3 linked regions of the Arabidopsis thaliana genome follow. The protein of the gene in region 2 interacts with the protein of the main gene of each other region in a pairwise test. Each region holds a gene or a part of one and is shown on either strand. Other genes may lie near its edges.

What was found.
Region 1: the proteins of HB6 (region 2) and AT2G28060 interact in a two-hybrid assay, tested with the Arabidopsis thaliana proteins (one large-scale study listed by BioGRID).
Region 3: the proteins of HB6 (region 2) and AT5G48240 interact in a two-hybrid assay, tested with the Arabidopsis thaliana proteins (one large-scale study listed by BioGRID).

What each region holds. Positions count from the first base shown.
Region 1 is NC_003071.7:11,948,986-11,954,056, reverse strand, and holds AT2G28060 (5'-AMP-activated protein kinase beta-2 subunit protein), read left to right. Parts: upstream 1-1,803; 5' UTR 1,804-2,014; exon of another isoform or gene 2,015-2,279; 5' UTR 2,280-2,361; intron 2,362-3,413; 5' UTR 3,414-3,438; coding exon 3,439-3,465; intron 3,466-3,565; coding exon 3,566-3,883; 3' UTR 3,884-4,186; downstream 4,187-5,071. UniProt on the Arabidopsis thaliana protein: Regulatory subunit of the probable trimeric SNF1-related protein kinase (SnRK) complex, which may play a role in a signal transduction cascade regulating gene expression and carbohydrate metabolism in higher plants.
Region 2 is NC_003071.7:9,525,392-9,530,115, forward strand, and holds HB6 (homeobox protein 6), read right to left. Parts: upstream 2,455-4,724; 5' UTR 2,222-2,454; coding exon 2,152-2,221; intron 2,073-2,151; coding exon 1,693-2,072; intron 1,565-1,692; coding exon 1,079-1,564; 3' UTR 597-1,078; downstream 1-596. Other genes in the region: AT2G22440 (non-LTR retroelement reverse transcriptase), read left to right, coding at 3,519-3,843, 4,081-4,526. UniProt on the Arabidopsis thaliana protein: Transcription activator that may act as growth regulators in response to water deficit. Interacts with the core sequence 5'-CAATTATTA-3' of promoters in response to ABA and in an ABI1-dependent manner.
Region 3 is NC_003076.8:19,557,411-19,562,160, reverse strand, and holds AT5G48240 (Rrp15p protein), read right to left. Parts: upstream 2,919-4,750; 5' UTR 2,861-2,918; coding exon 2,417-2,860; intron 2,336-2,416; coding exon 2,234-2,335; intron 2,150-2,233; coding exon 2,068-2,149; intron 1,961-2,067; coding exon 1,941-1,960; intron 1,857-1,940; coding exon 1,796-1,856; intron 1,706-1,795; coding exon 1,641-1,705; coding exon of another isoform or gene 1,570-1,640; coding exon 1,484-1,569; exon of another isoform or gene 1,389-1,483; coding exon 1,334-1,388; exon of another isoform or gene 1,259-1,333; coding exon 1,163-1,258; intron 1,068-1,162; coding exon 1,008-1,067; 3' UTR 886-1,007; downstream 1-885. Other genes in the region: BBX8 (B-box type zinc finger protein with CCT domain-containing protein), read left to right, coding at 1-228, 313-442.

The DNA.
Region 1 (5,071 bases), 2.4 Mb from region 2:
TGAACATTGGGTTTTAGTTTGAAGTAATTATTTTTGTTTTTTTGAGAGAGTTTGGAATGATAATGTGAGGGATATATAAGTGGGAGGAGATATACACTGGTTTAGGGTTAAAGTTCATAAATGGGCTCGTGAGTGATGGCTGGAAACATAAGAGAGAAGAGTAAGTAGGAGAGGACAGAGGCAAAATGGCTGGAAAATGGTATTAATCAAAATACGATTTTATATGTGTGATAGAGATACAAAAAAGTGTTGATGGGGTCGGGAAGATCAGAAAGAGGTAGGAAAGTCCGTGAGTTTCAGAAATTACAATCAAAGATCAAACATTTGTCTTTGCATTTATGAATTATGACACACTCACACGCAATTTTCTATATTTTCAAACTATTGTTTCTCTTGTTTTAAAATGGTTTGGAGATTGGACATGGATTTTTAAATATATATATTATTATGTACACGGTTGCATGGGTTTTCGGGACTATTGGATTTTGCTTTCTTTTGGATAACAAAAACACGATAAATATTTCATTAAACCATACAAATCTTCGATTGATAAATACATATACGAAAACATACCTAAGGAAAAGGAATCCATTGTTGTAGGATTTAGGTACCATGCGGTTTTCCAAACCATAGAGTAATCTCATATGTATTGAAATTTAAAAAAAAAAAAATACAAAGAAGAACTAAAAAACAGAAAAAAAAAACTAAGAAAATAGGGAAATTAAGTTGGAGTCTCTTTAATTTGTTTTTTTTTTGTCATCTAGAGTTATTTTAATGTTACCATGATGAAATACTTGATAAAATACAACATTAAACCGAAAGAAAACGAGATTTTTTCGAAGTTTAAGCCCTAAGTAAAAAAGTCATAAATAATACTACAAAGCAAGAGGAAAAAAGCAATAGTAGTTGAAATCCCACCAAAACTATAAGTCGCATAGTTCTTGAAGATTATTTGAAAGAAAAGTATCGCGGATGCCCACCACCAACCAACGATACACAAGTCCTCCTATTGAGATGAACAACAACCTTCAGATTTCAGAATTTTTAAGCTTTATAACCTGATAACCACTGCCCAAACTTTCTTTCGTATGTGGTGATGTCATAAATCGACAAGAAACAATAAACATTAAGATTATGTGCCTTCATTGGATCATGGACTGAAAATTAAGCTCTTCGATCAACTAAAACAAATTTATCATCATTGTTTTCATACTCGCTGCTAAGTTTGCAGGGGAGTATTAGAGTCCACAACTAAAACAAGTCCAAACCCAATGTGAGGTCTACATAAGTAGAATTTTAACAAGTTAGAAGATTCATATAAACAATTATGTAATGAGAACTATGATTGTAACTTTGAGAGAACTCTCTTCCTTCATCTTATGAAATATCAAATCTAGAAACATTGGCTTTTGGTGACAAACCTTAAGCTCCTTTACATTTTTCTCTTCTTTACATTTCAATAAAGCTCACTAGAACTATTGCATTTCTATCTTTATATAATAAGCTCAATGAACATCAATCTATATTTGTCTTAAAAATGTCAAATAAATAGAAGTTTCATGAAAGGACCAGACCTCGATCAAGTCTGAGAAGCATAGACAAGGAGTGAAGATTTAGTCTCGATAACACCATTCTTAAGAGACGAAAAAAGGTAAAAGATCGAATCGCATAGAATCAAAGAAATCTTCACATATTCAGAGGAAAAACAGCATGTCTAGCGAACACTAGAGTCGAACAAAAGCAAACCACCAATCACACATCCTTATTTGTCAATTATTTATTTTGGAAACTAAAAAGAAAGTTAATGAGTAAAATAGTTTCCATAAGAAGAAAAAAAATGTTTTCTGAGGAAAGAAAATGTTTTCGAAGGACAGCAAAGTTTAAGCCAATAAGCAAAACAAAAGCTGATGCTTGTCGCGACTGTGTTCGTCAAGAATCTCCAGGACGAACCCAATCTTCTCTCTCGAAGCTGTCTAAAATTAATCAATCAATCATTGAGCTAATCATATTCTAGGTTAAGTAAAAACAGAGTAAACCCTCTCTTTTTTTCTCTTTCTCTGCCTTTCTCAATTTCGTTTCGTCTCCTTCGTTCTTCCAATTTCCGTCTGATTTTATACGAAATTTGCATTGATATCGAAGTAAAATCGAATACCCATGATTCAAAATTTCATTTTTTATGCGACTGATTCCTCAATTTTGATTTTCCGGTGATTTCTAGGGTTTTCTATTAGGTGGGTGTTATTTATCATTTGATGGGTCATTTACTGATGATTTTGCAGGTTTTTGTTTTAAGGATTTGTGTAGACTTTCATTGCTGCTACGTTTTTGAAAGGGTAATTTGAAGGGCTTAGCTTCCCAAAGGTGAGAATTTTAACTCCAGTTTGGCTTCTGATATTGTGTTCATTGTTATGTATTTTTAAGCTTAGTAGTTGTGTTTTAAAGTTGTTCCAGTTTGGTTGATAAGTGTGTATGTGTGTTCATCAGATTGGGTGAGTACAGTTCTTTCATTGATATCTCCAGTTGATTTGTGGGAATTTTGTTCTGTGTGTATAGGATTTAGACCTCAAATATTGGATTCTCTTTAAGCATTTAAGTGCCTGGTTTCTTCATCATCACTTGATAGGAGGACTTTACAAATTTTATTCTGAACATGGAATTTGGTTAGCCGAATAACTTCGTGGGGATTAGTTTCTCGTGCAAGGAAATTCTTCATGGTTCTGTCTTGGAAGTGTTTGGAATCTTGAAGCTTGATAGATTTTCGATGTAGGCATGATGCGGTTTTCTTATAGGTTTAAAGGGTCTTTAGCTGAGATATGGTTCCTATGGTGTGTAATAGGTTTAAAGGGTCTTTAGATGAGATAAAACTGTGCAAAGAGTTCATATAATAAATGGTTAAATCCTATATATTATCTGTTCAGTGTACATAGAGAAGAATTAGCTGTGGAATTTGGATGTACATGATAATAACAATGTAGTTTATGTCTTCCAACTTGTCTCTGTTGTGATAATGATCAATGTGTTTCTATTCTAACTCCTGTGGTCCATTGATTTTTGAATCCTTTGTCCACCTTAGTACTTTCTTCGAAGAAGGCATGGGAAAATATGATTCTCTGGTCCAACTTTCTTAAGACTGTCTGCATCTTTGGATCCTTAGATTTGTCTACGGGATTATGAATTATTTGACTTTTGATACCGATTAGACAAAAGTCTTACATTTCACACAAATAAGAGTTTGCATCATTGTAGAGAACAACATTGTTTTCATTTCTGCTTCAGTGTTTTTGAGTTGAAATGTAAACACCTCTTTCTCTTAGATTAGTTTGAATGGCACTTGAGCTGGTGTGACCTACATTCATTTTGATTGTTTACTTTGCATGCTATTGCGGTTTAGTTATGATTATATTTTGTTTCAGGCACTAGGTGGCAATCTTATCCAAGATGAACAGTCAAAATCCTGATGATCATGTAAGCCAGCTAAAACACCTTTTTGCCTTCAACCAACTAATCGAGTAATTTCCAGTCTCCCGCTCGATTTTTCAATCTTTTATCGTTTTCTTAAACATAGGAGGACACAACGGTTGTGGGATTTGAAGTACCTGTATCACCGGTTTCAAGTTACAACAATGTGTATTCCTCAACCGAAGATGAGACAAGAGATCCTCCAGCAGTACCGCCACACCTTCAACACTCTCTATTAGGCAATCAGGGTAGCATGGAACTGGCTTATGCGCCACAGAATGTTGTCCTGAACCACCTCTATATCGAGAACCGAGACGCCCCAAGATCTGTTGTAGCACTCGGTTTCTCGCATCGGTTCAGGACTAAGTTTGTCACTGTGGTGATATACAAGCCTGTCCAAAGAAGAGGGAGCGCCAATGTTTGAATAATGATACCTCTTTTTAAGTAGTGTTGGGAATTTGCTTCTTTATGGATTGAATTTGGTATACAAAACCATCTGGTCCGTACTGAATTTTATTCTTCTCTTACAGATTCGATTTAGACGGTTTCTAGGTACATTCGATTGAAATCATCTTCTTGTTCGGAGTTTATATAAAATCTCCATGCATTTTTATTTTTTAGGCCCAAAAAAGCTGATAGACGTGGGCATTGTTTGTTTGTAATAACTCCCTTAGATTGGGTTTAGTTAAACGAGCCCAAATATCGCTAATGAAGTTCTTTACTTGCTCATATGTAGTGTTACCATAAATTATTTAAATCTTTCGTAGCTCCAAAAAGGAAAAAAAAAAAAAAAAATCTTAATCAAAACTTTCTATGTCCGAGATAAGTTACCAAACTAATGCTCTAAAACTGGATTGGATCGTCGGATCAATGCATTAGTCTAAAACTGGATTGGATCGTCGGATCATTGCATTAGTTCGGTTTGAATGTAGATCACTTATACTCTCGTTGTTTTTAATTAAGTGTAGTTTTAAGGTTTTTTATTTTTTTTTAATATAAGTGTTGTTTTCACTTTTCTATGCAAACATTAAATGTATTTAATAATTTTTAATTAATTATATTTTTTTACTGGTTGGATTAGTTGTAATTAATGATGTTTTTATAGGAAAAAGATAAATTAAATAAAATTTGTATGTTTTCTTAATTTGTGTGCAAAAACTTTAAACTACAAATATTCAGTAACAGAGGGAGTATATAAAAACAAAGTTGGTTTGTGCATGGGAGCTTATTTGCACAAAATTGATTAAAAAATGGGTTCTGGATATTAATAAGACTATGATTAATATCCAGAACCCTATATTTTTTTCAATTTCATCGAAAGTTTCATCAATGTAACGTTAAAACAAATTATACATCTTACAACCGTCAGAAACTACTTTAAATCCATGATATCACATATATGAAACTAACATTATTATTTGAACAAATTAAAAAACATTATATTACGCATTATAACATTGAAAAACAAAACAAAATAACTAATATAGAATAAAATAAATTGTATCCGGATTGGAAATTGCTTATCTGATATTTTTTTTAACCGTATTTTAACTTAGAACAAAAAAAACAGAGTGTAGGGAAACATAAATTCTACCAAATTCGAATATATAAG
Region 2 (4,724 bases):
AACAGTGGTATTGAATTATATTATAAATCTAGGTCTTATAAATCATAAAAAAACTGACGGTACAAAGTCTTGTATTATTGGCTTTTTACTATATTATGTTGAGGTTTTGGTAAGAAAATATTAAAACAAATTTCTTTTTATTTTATGATTATTTAAAATATTATTAAAACTTATTGTACAATCTATTTTTTATTTATCACATCTTTTTTTTGGTCGGATTCTTATTATCATCTTTTACCGCCTTTAAGTATATATCTTCATCTTTTATTTGTTGTCATTACTGCTAAGTTTCACCTTATATCACTAATTAAAGTATATAAGTTAGTAATTATAAATTAGTGGTACATGACAATACCTTTTTAAGCTAAATTAGATTTTATAGGTCAAATAAGACAGAATGAAATAAAAAAATTAGTTTGAACTAAATAAACCTTAATGACATGAATACTTTCCGGTAATCGAAAATGTAATAAATTGATTTATACTAAAGTTTTAATTCAAATCACAAAACAAACTACACTAAAAGTATATTTAACAGATTCAAAAAAAAAAAAAAAGTGTATAACACATCTATTTTGTTTTTTCTATCAAGAGGTTTTGGATCTGAAGTTCGGTGTGTTTTTTACCCAAACATTAGACTTAAAGCTGAGACTTTGAGGTGCATTCTCTTTGAAAAAAATCCCATAATACACTAGAACTAAATACACGAAGTCACACTGTAGTTTTATGATTCAAAAATTGATTTAAGGGTCAGAAGTGGTATAATTTAGGTTTCAAGGGTCAATTGTAATTTAAAGAGCCCATGCTGAATTTTTGCCTTTGACATGTTAACCCCTTCTCAATTTCTCTTTGATCTGATGATCCTTAATTACAAGAAGTGCACGAAAATCACTAGAGAAAAAGCATAATTACAAATTCACCCTAAATCATTATTCCCGCCCAGACTTAACCCTTCCTTAATTGCCCTTTCACCCTTCAATTTTAACTTTATTCCCATTTTGCCCTCCTCTGTTTTTTCCACAGAGAAGAAAAGAGCATCTAATCCAATCCAAAATCTCTTCCGGTGGTGTTTTCAGCTTCAATTCCAATGATCAACGGTGGAGTACCAGTGTAGAGACGGCGGTTGTTCATCGGAAAAGAATTCACAAGCTTCTTCTCCACTCAGAAAGTCCTCATGATCCTCCGTCTGCTCCATTTTCACAAACTGGAAGAAATTACCTCCTGGAACCGTCACCGGAGCCGCCACAGTGACATTAGAGCTGCTTTCTTCATTCAGCAGAGCGCTTGAATCGCTACTGTCTGAAGATCCAGCTGCGGCGGCGAATGAAGAAGCCGCCGCCTTTAATGGAAGAAGATCACGTAGATCTGTGAAACTCCGGTAATTAAGACCATCAGAATGTTCAAGAAACTGTGGAGGAGACGACGGTGCCTCTGTAATCTTCTCCGGCAACGAAACTTCTTCCTCCTTGACCGAAATATCACTCTCCGTTGTCACCGCCGCGTTGTTCTCTTCTTCTTCTTCTTCTCCTCCTCCTCCATTAAGCTTCGTTTTCAGTTTACTAATCTGCATCAAACCAAAACCATAAGTTTCAATTCTCTTGTAAATCTCAAGATTGGTAAAAAGTTTCAATTTTTTTAACTTTGAATCAACAAAAGTTTCAATCTTTTATCAAAAAGGTTGAATTTTTATACCTCTTGAAGGAGAGATTCATTGTCACGGCGGAGGGAATCAAAGTTATGACGGAGAGAATCGTACTGGGTTTTAAGAACACCGTAATCTTTCTCAAGCTGTTTTGTCTTCCACCGAGCACGACGGTTTTGAAACCAAACAGCAACTTGACGAGGTTGAAGACCAAGTTCTTGAGCTAACTTAACTTTCCTCTCAGGCTCAAGCTTATTCTCTAACTCAAAATTCTTCTCCAAAGCTTTAACTTGGTTAATGCTTAACCTTCTCTTCTTCTCCGACAAGCCCACGTGTCCTCTTTCTTCTACTATAGCTTCTTCTTCTTCCTCGTATCCTTCAAGCATCGACTGAAACTCTCTCCCACCGTATCTCCTCGGACTCTGCTCATCTGTAATTCCATAAGAAGAACAATTAGCAAACAAAGATGAGATTAATTAAAGGACTTGTTTAGAAAATTAGCTAAGTACCTGTGGAAGTTGTAGGACATAAAGAGATGAGACCACCCACTGAATCTGAACTACTTAATCTCTTCATCATCAACAATCTTTAATTACTTTCGAAATTTTTAATAACTTCTCAATTTAATGCATAGTACTTGATGATCTTTACTCTCTTAAACCCATCAAGAAAAGAGAAAACTTTGAAGGAAGAGAGAAAGAGAAATGGAGAGAAATTAAAGACAATGGAGATTCTTCTATATACAGAGAGAGAGAGGAGAGAGATTGTTGAGGTTGATGAGCGTTTTCCATATGAACAAGCTTGGTTTCACACTTTCTCTCAGTTTAAATAAACTCAAAGGTTGGGTTAGAAAGTAACCATGGTTAAGTAGATATTGTCTTGGGTGTTTTCTTTTGTAAATGATTTTTTTTTTTTTGTTAAAATAAATTTGAGGGGGTCCACCGGCTATACCCAGTTACCTCCAGGTTTCTTCCGGTATCACTGGAACTCGTGTAAGAGAAGATTAAAAAATCAATTAAAATAAAATTAATCTCAAACGGATATAATATGGCTCGGCTTATACTAATCGGCTCAGCTCCACTCAAGCTATACGTGGAAAGGAATCTCTGTGTTAAATTAATAATCTATTTTTAAAAATTGAATAATCGAGTTTTCTTTTTATTAATCTTTTGAAATTGTCTATTCACCATGTAAAAGTTATTATAACATCACAATATTGTGTTTAGAAGTTTTATAGTAGTGTGTAACAAAATTGGTTATCAGAATTATTTTGTTAAATGCTAAAATCATGAATGCTTTAGAGATATTTTTTTGACAACATTTTACAAAATATGTTTGTCTTATTCGCATGGTAATCTAATCATCATGTCTTCTTTAATTTGTTAAAGTTGTAATAATTGGATTATATGCGTTTTTTATTTTCTCTAACCCATTAAAAAATTTATAAATTAAAGTTATAGGGTGATGACTTTCGTGGCAATGCAAAAATGAGACAAGAGCTGTTGGGCCTCGATGACAGCAACAAGAGTGAGTTTTTTGCTTTCTTTTTATTTGGGTTAGGTTCTTTTGATTCTCCAAAACATATTTATATTCTCTTATATATTTGGAAAGTTTTTGGGTTTTTGGTTCTTTGATTTTTTTCACCTTATAAGTTCCTATATCCGGTATCATCCATTGATAATATAATTAGTTTGTTTTCTTTATAAAATGTAAATTATATTTTTTAGGTATAACATCATCTTAACTATAGTCAAAATAATTCTTTTGGATCGAAACTAACAACCTTAATATCAACATGAAATTGTGTTTATTTTAGAGGTGAAAATGCGCCAAACCTCTTCTTGTCTTTGGATTTCGGAGGACCATAGGTTCTGGAATGCTGACTCGCGTATGGAAAGATCCATGGATTCCCACTATCCTAGCGCGGCCTGCAAAGAGCATTCTTAACATAAGAGATTCTCTACTCTATGTCAATGATTTAATTGACCAAAACACAAATTTGTGGAAATTGGACCGTCTCCAAGCACTGATCGATCCCGTTGATATTCCACTCATTTTAGGGATTCGCCCAAGTCGTACCTACTTGAGTGATGGCTTTAGCTGGTCTCACACTAAATCCGGTAATTATACTGTTAAGTCAGGATATTGGGTCGCGAGAGATCTTTCTCGTCCTACTTGTGACCCCCCTTTTCAGGGACCAGGTGTTTCGGCACTTCAGGCACAAGTATGAAAGCTTAAAACTACGCGGAAGCTTATGCATTTCGTGTGGCAATGTATCTCGGGTTGTTTAGCCACTTGTCAAAGATTGACATATCGCCATATGGGTACAGATAAAGGTTGTCCCCGTTGCGAAGAAGTAGAAGAGACAATCAACCATCTATTGTTTCATTGTCCACCTTCGAGACAGATTTGGGCTTTATCGCCTATTCCTACCTCAGGGAATATTTTCCCTAGAAACTCTCTCTTCTATAATTTCGACTTCCTTTTTTGGCGTGACCGAGAATTTGGAATTGGAGAAAAGGTGTTGGAACTCTTTCCATGGATAATTTGGTATATCTGGAAAAGTAAAAATCGTTTTGTTTTTGAGAACTTCAGGGAACCTCCCCCTGAAACTTTGGTTTTGGCACTTCAAGAGACAGCTGTTTGGAAACAAGCAACTCTAAAAGAGGATGATTCCACTCGTCCAATCGTGTTCGTAGGTTCTTCTCAGACCCCGTCCACCTTGCTCCCTGAATGTCAACTCGATGCATCATGGCATGTAGATGACACATTGAGCGGGCATGGTTGGGTACTTGTTCGACAAGACTTGGTCATCCACCTTGGCCTTAAGAGCACTCGTCGAAATTTATCACCGCTTCATGCGGAATTTAACTCTTTGTTATAGGCAATGGAGTGCATGATCTCTATTGGTGATACTTCTGGTACTTTTGCTTCGGATTGCTCAGACTTGATTGCTATCCTTGATAACCAAGACGATTGGCTGACTTTTGCAGCGGAATTGGCTTCATATCGTTCTTTAGTTTGTTTTTTCCCTTCTTTTCGTATTAGATTTCTTTCTCGTAGTTCTAATACTCGAGCAGAT
Region 3 (4,750 bases), on a different chromosome or scaffold from region 2:
AATTTGCTATTCATCAAAGCCAGCACATTCGAATATCTCCTTCTCTGGCATCACTGGAGAAAGTAATGCTGGAGATTTCCAAGATTGTGGGGCGTCATCGATGAAGCAGCTTTCAAGGGAGCCACAACCATGGTGCCATCCAACAGCACAGGACATTATTGCTTCCTCACATGCAACAACACGTAATAACGCTGTTATGCGTTACAAGGAAAAGAAGAAGGCTCGCAAGTAAGTATAAACGCACACAGAAAGGAATTTAATTCATCATTGAAAGTTGTTATAGCTAATATTTAACATATTTTGTATAAATAGGTTTGACAAGCGAGTAAGGTATGTCTCTAGGAAAGAAAGGGCTGATGTGAGACGGCGTGTGAAAGGACGGTTTGTCAAGTCCGGTGAAGCTTATGATTACGACCCGATGAGCCCAACAAGAAGCTACTGAGGATAAAACCTCAAAACAATGAAAGATCACAAAGTGGAGATATAAGACAGAGATGCAACTAATTGGCAGCGATGGATCTGGAAGCCATTATTGGTTGAAAAGGAACACGAGTTCTCCGCCTCAAAAGCGTCATACTTGCTTAGAAAGGCGCATGCTTCTGCAGTTCTGCCTCATTTTTTGCATAAAGTTTGTTATCTTCTTCTGTCATTTGGCATCATGACTTGACTGTGAAACTAGAAACTCTTCTACAGATTCAGGTTCATGATCCTTAAATTTTGTCCTATTATAATTTGTGTAGCCAAGGCAAAACAACGAATGTATATTTTTTTTACGTCATATAAATAATAACCATGTAGAAGTTTGGAGTATCATCACTTCTATATTTACGGTATTGGTTAATGATACTAACAAGTGTATTTTCTAAAAGCGTAACCACAAGAATCACAACCTTTCAGGATCCTTTTGCACTATCAAAAAACTGAATTCATTCATATTGATCAGACAAAATTTGCATGATACAAAGGCAAAATTAAAGTTTGCTCGTTTAACTACTAGTTTAAACTCTTCAGTCTTCATAACTTTCATCTCCTGACAAACCGGCAAAATCATCTCCCTCGCTTGTTTCCTGCGGACAATTCAATTTTAAGTTTCAGATCAAAGAGTATAAATCAGTATGCAAGCTATGTGATTCCAGATTTGTGGATAAGAATGAAGAGATACCTGTTTCTTGTCCCAGTCCTTCAGTTTTGGGTTTGCTAACATGTAATTATCTCGTAGAGGAGCCCAAACAGGAGCTTCGTCTTCAGATTTGTGAGCCTGCACCATCCAACAGAATATCACTAGTTAACTAACCAACAATACTTTAGACTTATAACTAACGGCTCTCGCTACTGAAGGTGATCCTTTCTCTATAGAAGCCAGCTCAAGACAGAATACTAACTTGCTTCTATGTTCATCCAAAGTTGAAGGCTTTAAGAACATTCAAAATTGTTACTAGTAATTTACTAAGAATACTTCTGATTTATAACTAACATCTATCACTCACTCATGAGGTGATTCTTTTCGTGACTCTCTATAGGAGCTAGATCAAGACAGAATACTAACTTGTTTCTACGTGCATCAAACGGCTAAGGAATAAACTCTCAAGATAAATCATAATGAAAGAGAGAGAGTAAGAGATATGGAGACTATGCCAAACCTTGGTGTCTGTTTTTGTTTTCCCTAACTCAGACAAGAATGCTTCTTTTCTTCGCTTCTTCAGCACTGATGGATGTTCCAATAGGATAAAAAACGAGAATTAGAAGATAAGAACAAGACAGTGGATTCATGCCAACGATCAATTTCTAAGCCTACCTTTAGCGTCTTTAGACCTTGAAGGATTCAAACCCTTCTGAGCATGTTGAGCCTTGTTGACCTATTTGAAAAACATAAACTAAGAATCATACGAATCACTACCGGAGAATAAAAACCTCAAAAATAGACATAGAAACAAACTTACAGCATTGAAAAGCTTGACCACTGTGATACCACAAGTTCATGGAGAGGAAAAAAAGAGTCAATACTAAAACAAAAAAAAAAAACCAAACAATCTCAAGAAACAGAGAGTTTAACCAAAGCAACAATACCTCCTTTAGTAGCAACACCAATAAGAATCTTTTCATGAGAATCCAAATAACTTCCAGGTTTAACATGTCCCTTCTCAGCAATCTTAAAAAAGCAATTGTTAAGATAAATCATCATCTAAAACACAAGAACACAAACGAATAGTGAACACAACAACCAAACTCATACCAAATGTTTAGCCTTTCTAGCTTGACCTTTAGCTTTCTTTTCAGCTTCATCTTCAGCTAGCTTCTCTCCAATAAGATGCTTATGTGCTGATAAAACTGGGCCCTATTACACACAACACCAACACAGTTCAACACTATATTCCCAAATCAAAACTCAAAACTAGAATCTGCTATAAAATCTCACCAATGTATCATCTCCTTTAGTCTTCTTCATAATAGCTTTAAAAGCGATTTTGAAAGCATTACATCCATCAGTAGCAAACTTAGTGATTCCAGATTCAATCTCTCCATGATCTTCACCATCTGAATTCTCATCATTATCTTCTTCTCCAATCTCTTCGTAATTTGGTCCCATGTTAGCATCAGAGAAGATCTTCTCACGAATTGTTACTTCTGGTTGTTTCTTCGATTCATCATCTTCTTCTTCATCGTCATCGGAATTGTAATCTCGTGCTCTCTTCTGAAATAGCTTTTGATTCTTCATTGTAACCTTAAACCTATCGGAAGTAGAAGGTTTTGATTTTTGCTTTTTGTTCCTCGCCGCTTTAGTACCTTTCTTAACGCCGACTCTTCTCTTTCTAGAGCCTCTATCTGCCATCGCCATGTGACCTTCTTCTCCGGTAGACATGGCTTCGTCGAGAACTTTGGGTTATCACGGCGGCGAGAGTTTGGGGGAGAAGAGACGAGAGATAGGGTTTTGTTATTGCTTTCTTTAAACCTTGCTATAAGGGAAAATGTTTTCGGATTCTGATTTCCGGTTAAGGTCAGGTTTGTAAGTTGGATTTGGGTTCGAATTTGAGATTTCGGTTTAGGTCGGGTTTTGTCGTTTTGATTTCTATTGATAAATAATGGTTTCCACATGGTTAGCGACTTAGCGTCGGATATAAGATTTGGCCGCGTAATCGGTTCTTGACCAAACTACGAGGCTTGAATGGTTCAAATGCAGACTGCTGAAATTTATGGAAACGGAGAGTTGCGGTTTTAAGAGTTATCATATATTTTAAATGATTGATTTAGCGGTTAAATTTTACGTTTGTTGAAGTTTTATAGTTGGTTAACTAGCATGTGCGATAACGGTAAATACAAAATACCAAAATAATATAATTTATAATTTTAGAAAACTGAAAAACACCAAATTTTTATATTATTATGATTTAATGTTAAAATTTTAAATATAACTAATGATAAAACCATTTTGAGGATCTCAAGCTTGATAAAAAAATTGTCATGAATGAATATGTGTCAATTGATGAAATTTATAATAAAATATTATATTTTTTTACAAAATATAACTAATAAAAAAAAGTATTACATAATTATTCAAAAACAAGTAAATTTCATATTGAAATGTTTATTCATCAATTTGATTCATCACCAAAAAATGTATCATGTAATATGATATACTTCAAACAAATATGTTTGAATAGTAGATATTTCAGATTAACAATATTAGTACAATATTTATATTTGTATCTCGCCTTTTAACAGTTTGATTGACGTCATGATTTTGATGGAAAAATAAGAATTTAGAGTTATGAGAATTAACGTTAACATATAGGGTACAATAAAAAGAATCAGTTTTTACAGTTTTGAGAATTCACGTTACAATTTTTAGAATTTTCAGCGACCTTTAGTTATTAAAAGTATGTTTACTTGCTTTCTTAAATACTTAGGTAAACGTAATGAAAAGAAAAATTATATTTATTCTTTACACAGAATCATATGTAATTTCAGTTCTGTTATGAAGCAAGTTTTTAACCTTTGTGTATGTTCTTCTACGCACATCATACTTGTTCTTGAATTGTTTATCCCATGAATATCTCTTCCCAAATTTTTCTTCAAACTATCTCATGATGGACTCTTTTCCAGTTATATTTAATCTCGTCTTTCTTCTATTCCCTTTTTCCTCAGCAGTACAAAGTTGAAGAAAATATCAACACTCTTCGTCCGACCAATTCTAAATTCAGGAAAAAACATCCAATTCTCAATCATACAATTCTATAACATTAGAAAAAAAAAAGAAACTTACATCATCGTTGTTCATCTTATCAAGTAAGTGACAATCTTAGAGGAAGTAGCAAGTAAGGAACTGTCAATTGCCACTGAAAAAACGAAGAAAGAATGTATGTCAACACAAACTTGTTCCTTTACACTAAGAAACTAACACAAATGTCAACACAAATCTAAATGAAAACAAGAGGATTTGATCTTATTTCTCGTTTGGGTGCAAATTGAAAGTTTAATAAGCGACACAAAAGCAATACAACATGCATCCCTTTGATAAGATTTTAGAAACAACACTTCAGTTCCAGCTCCCAAAATCTGAACAAAATGATTGTGATTTTATACAAAAGTGCTTCAAAGAATTCAAAGTTGTGAAAGGAATAGAACAAAAGAATCCTGATAAAAAGAATAAGTTTTTAATAACTATTTAATCTATTTCGAGATAGAAAATTTGTCTCATCCTGTTCGCTAAGTTTGCGTTTATTTGTTGAACTCAGGTCAAAATTGGGGTTTA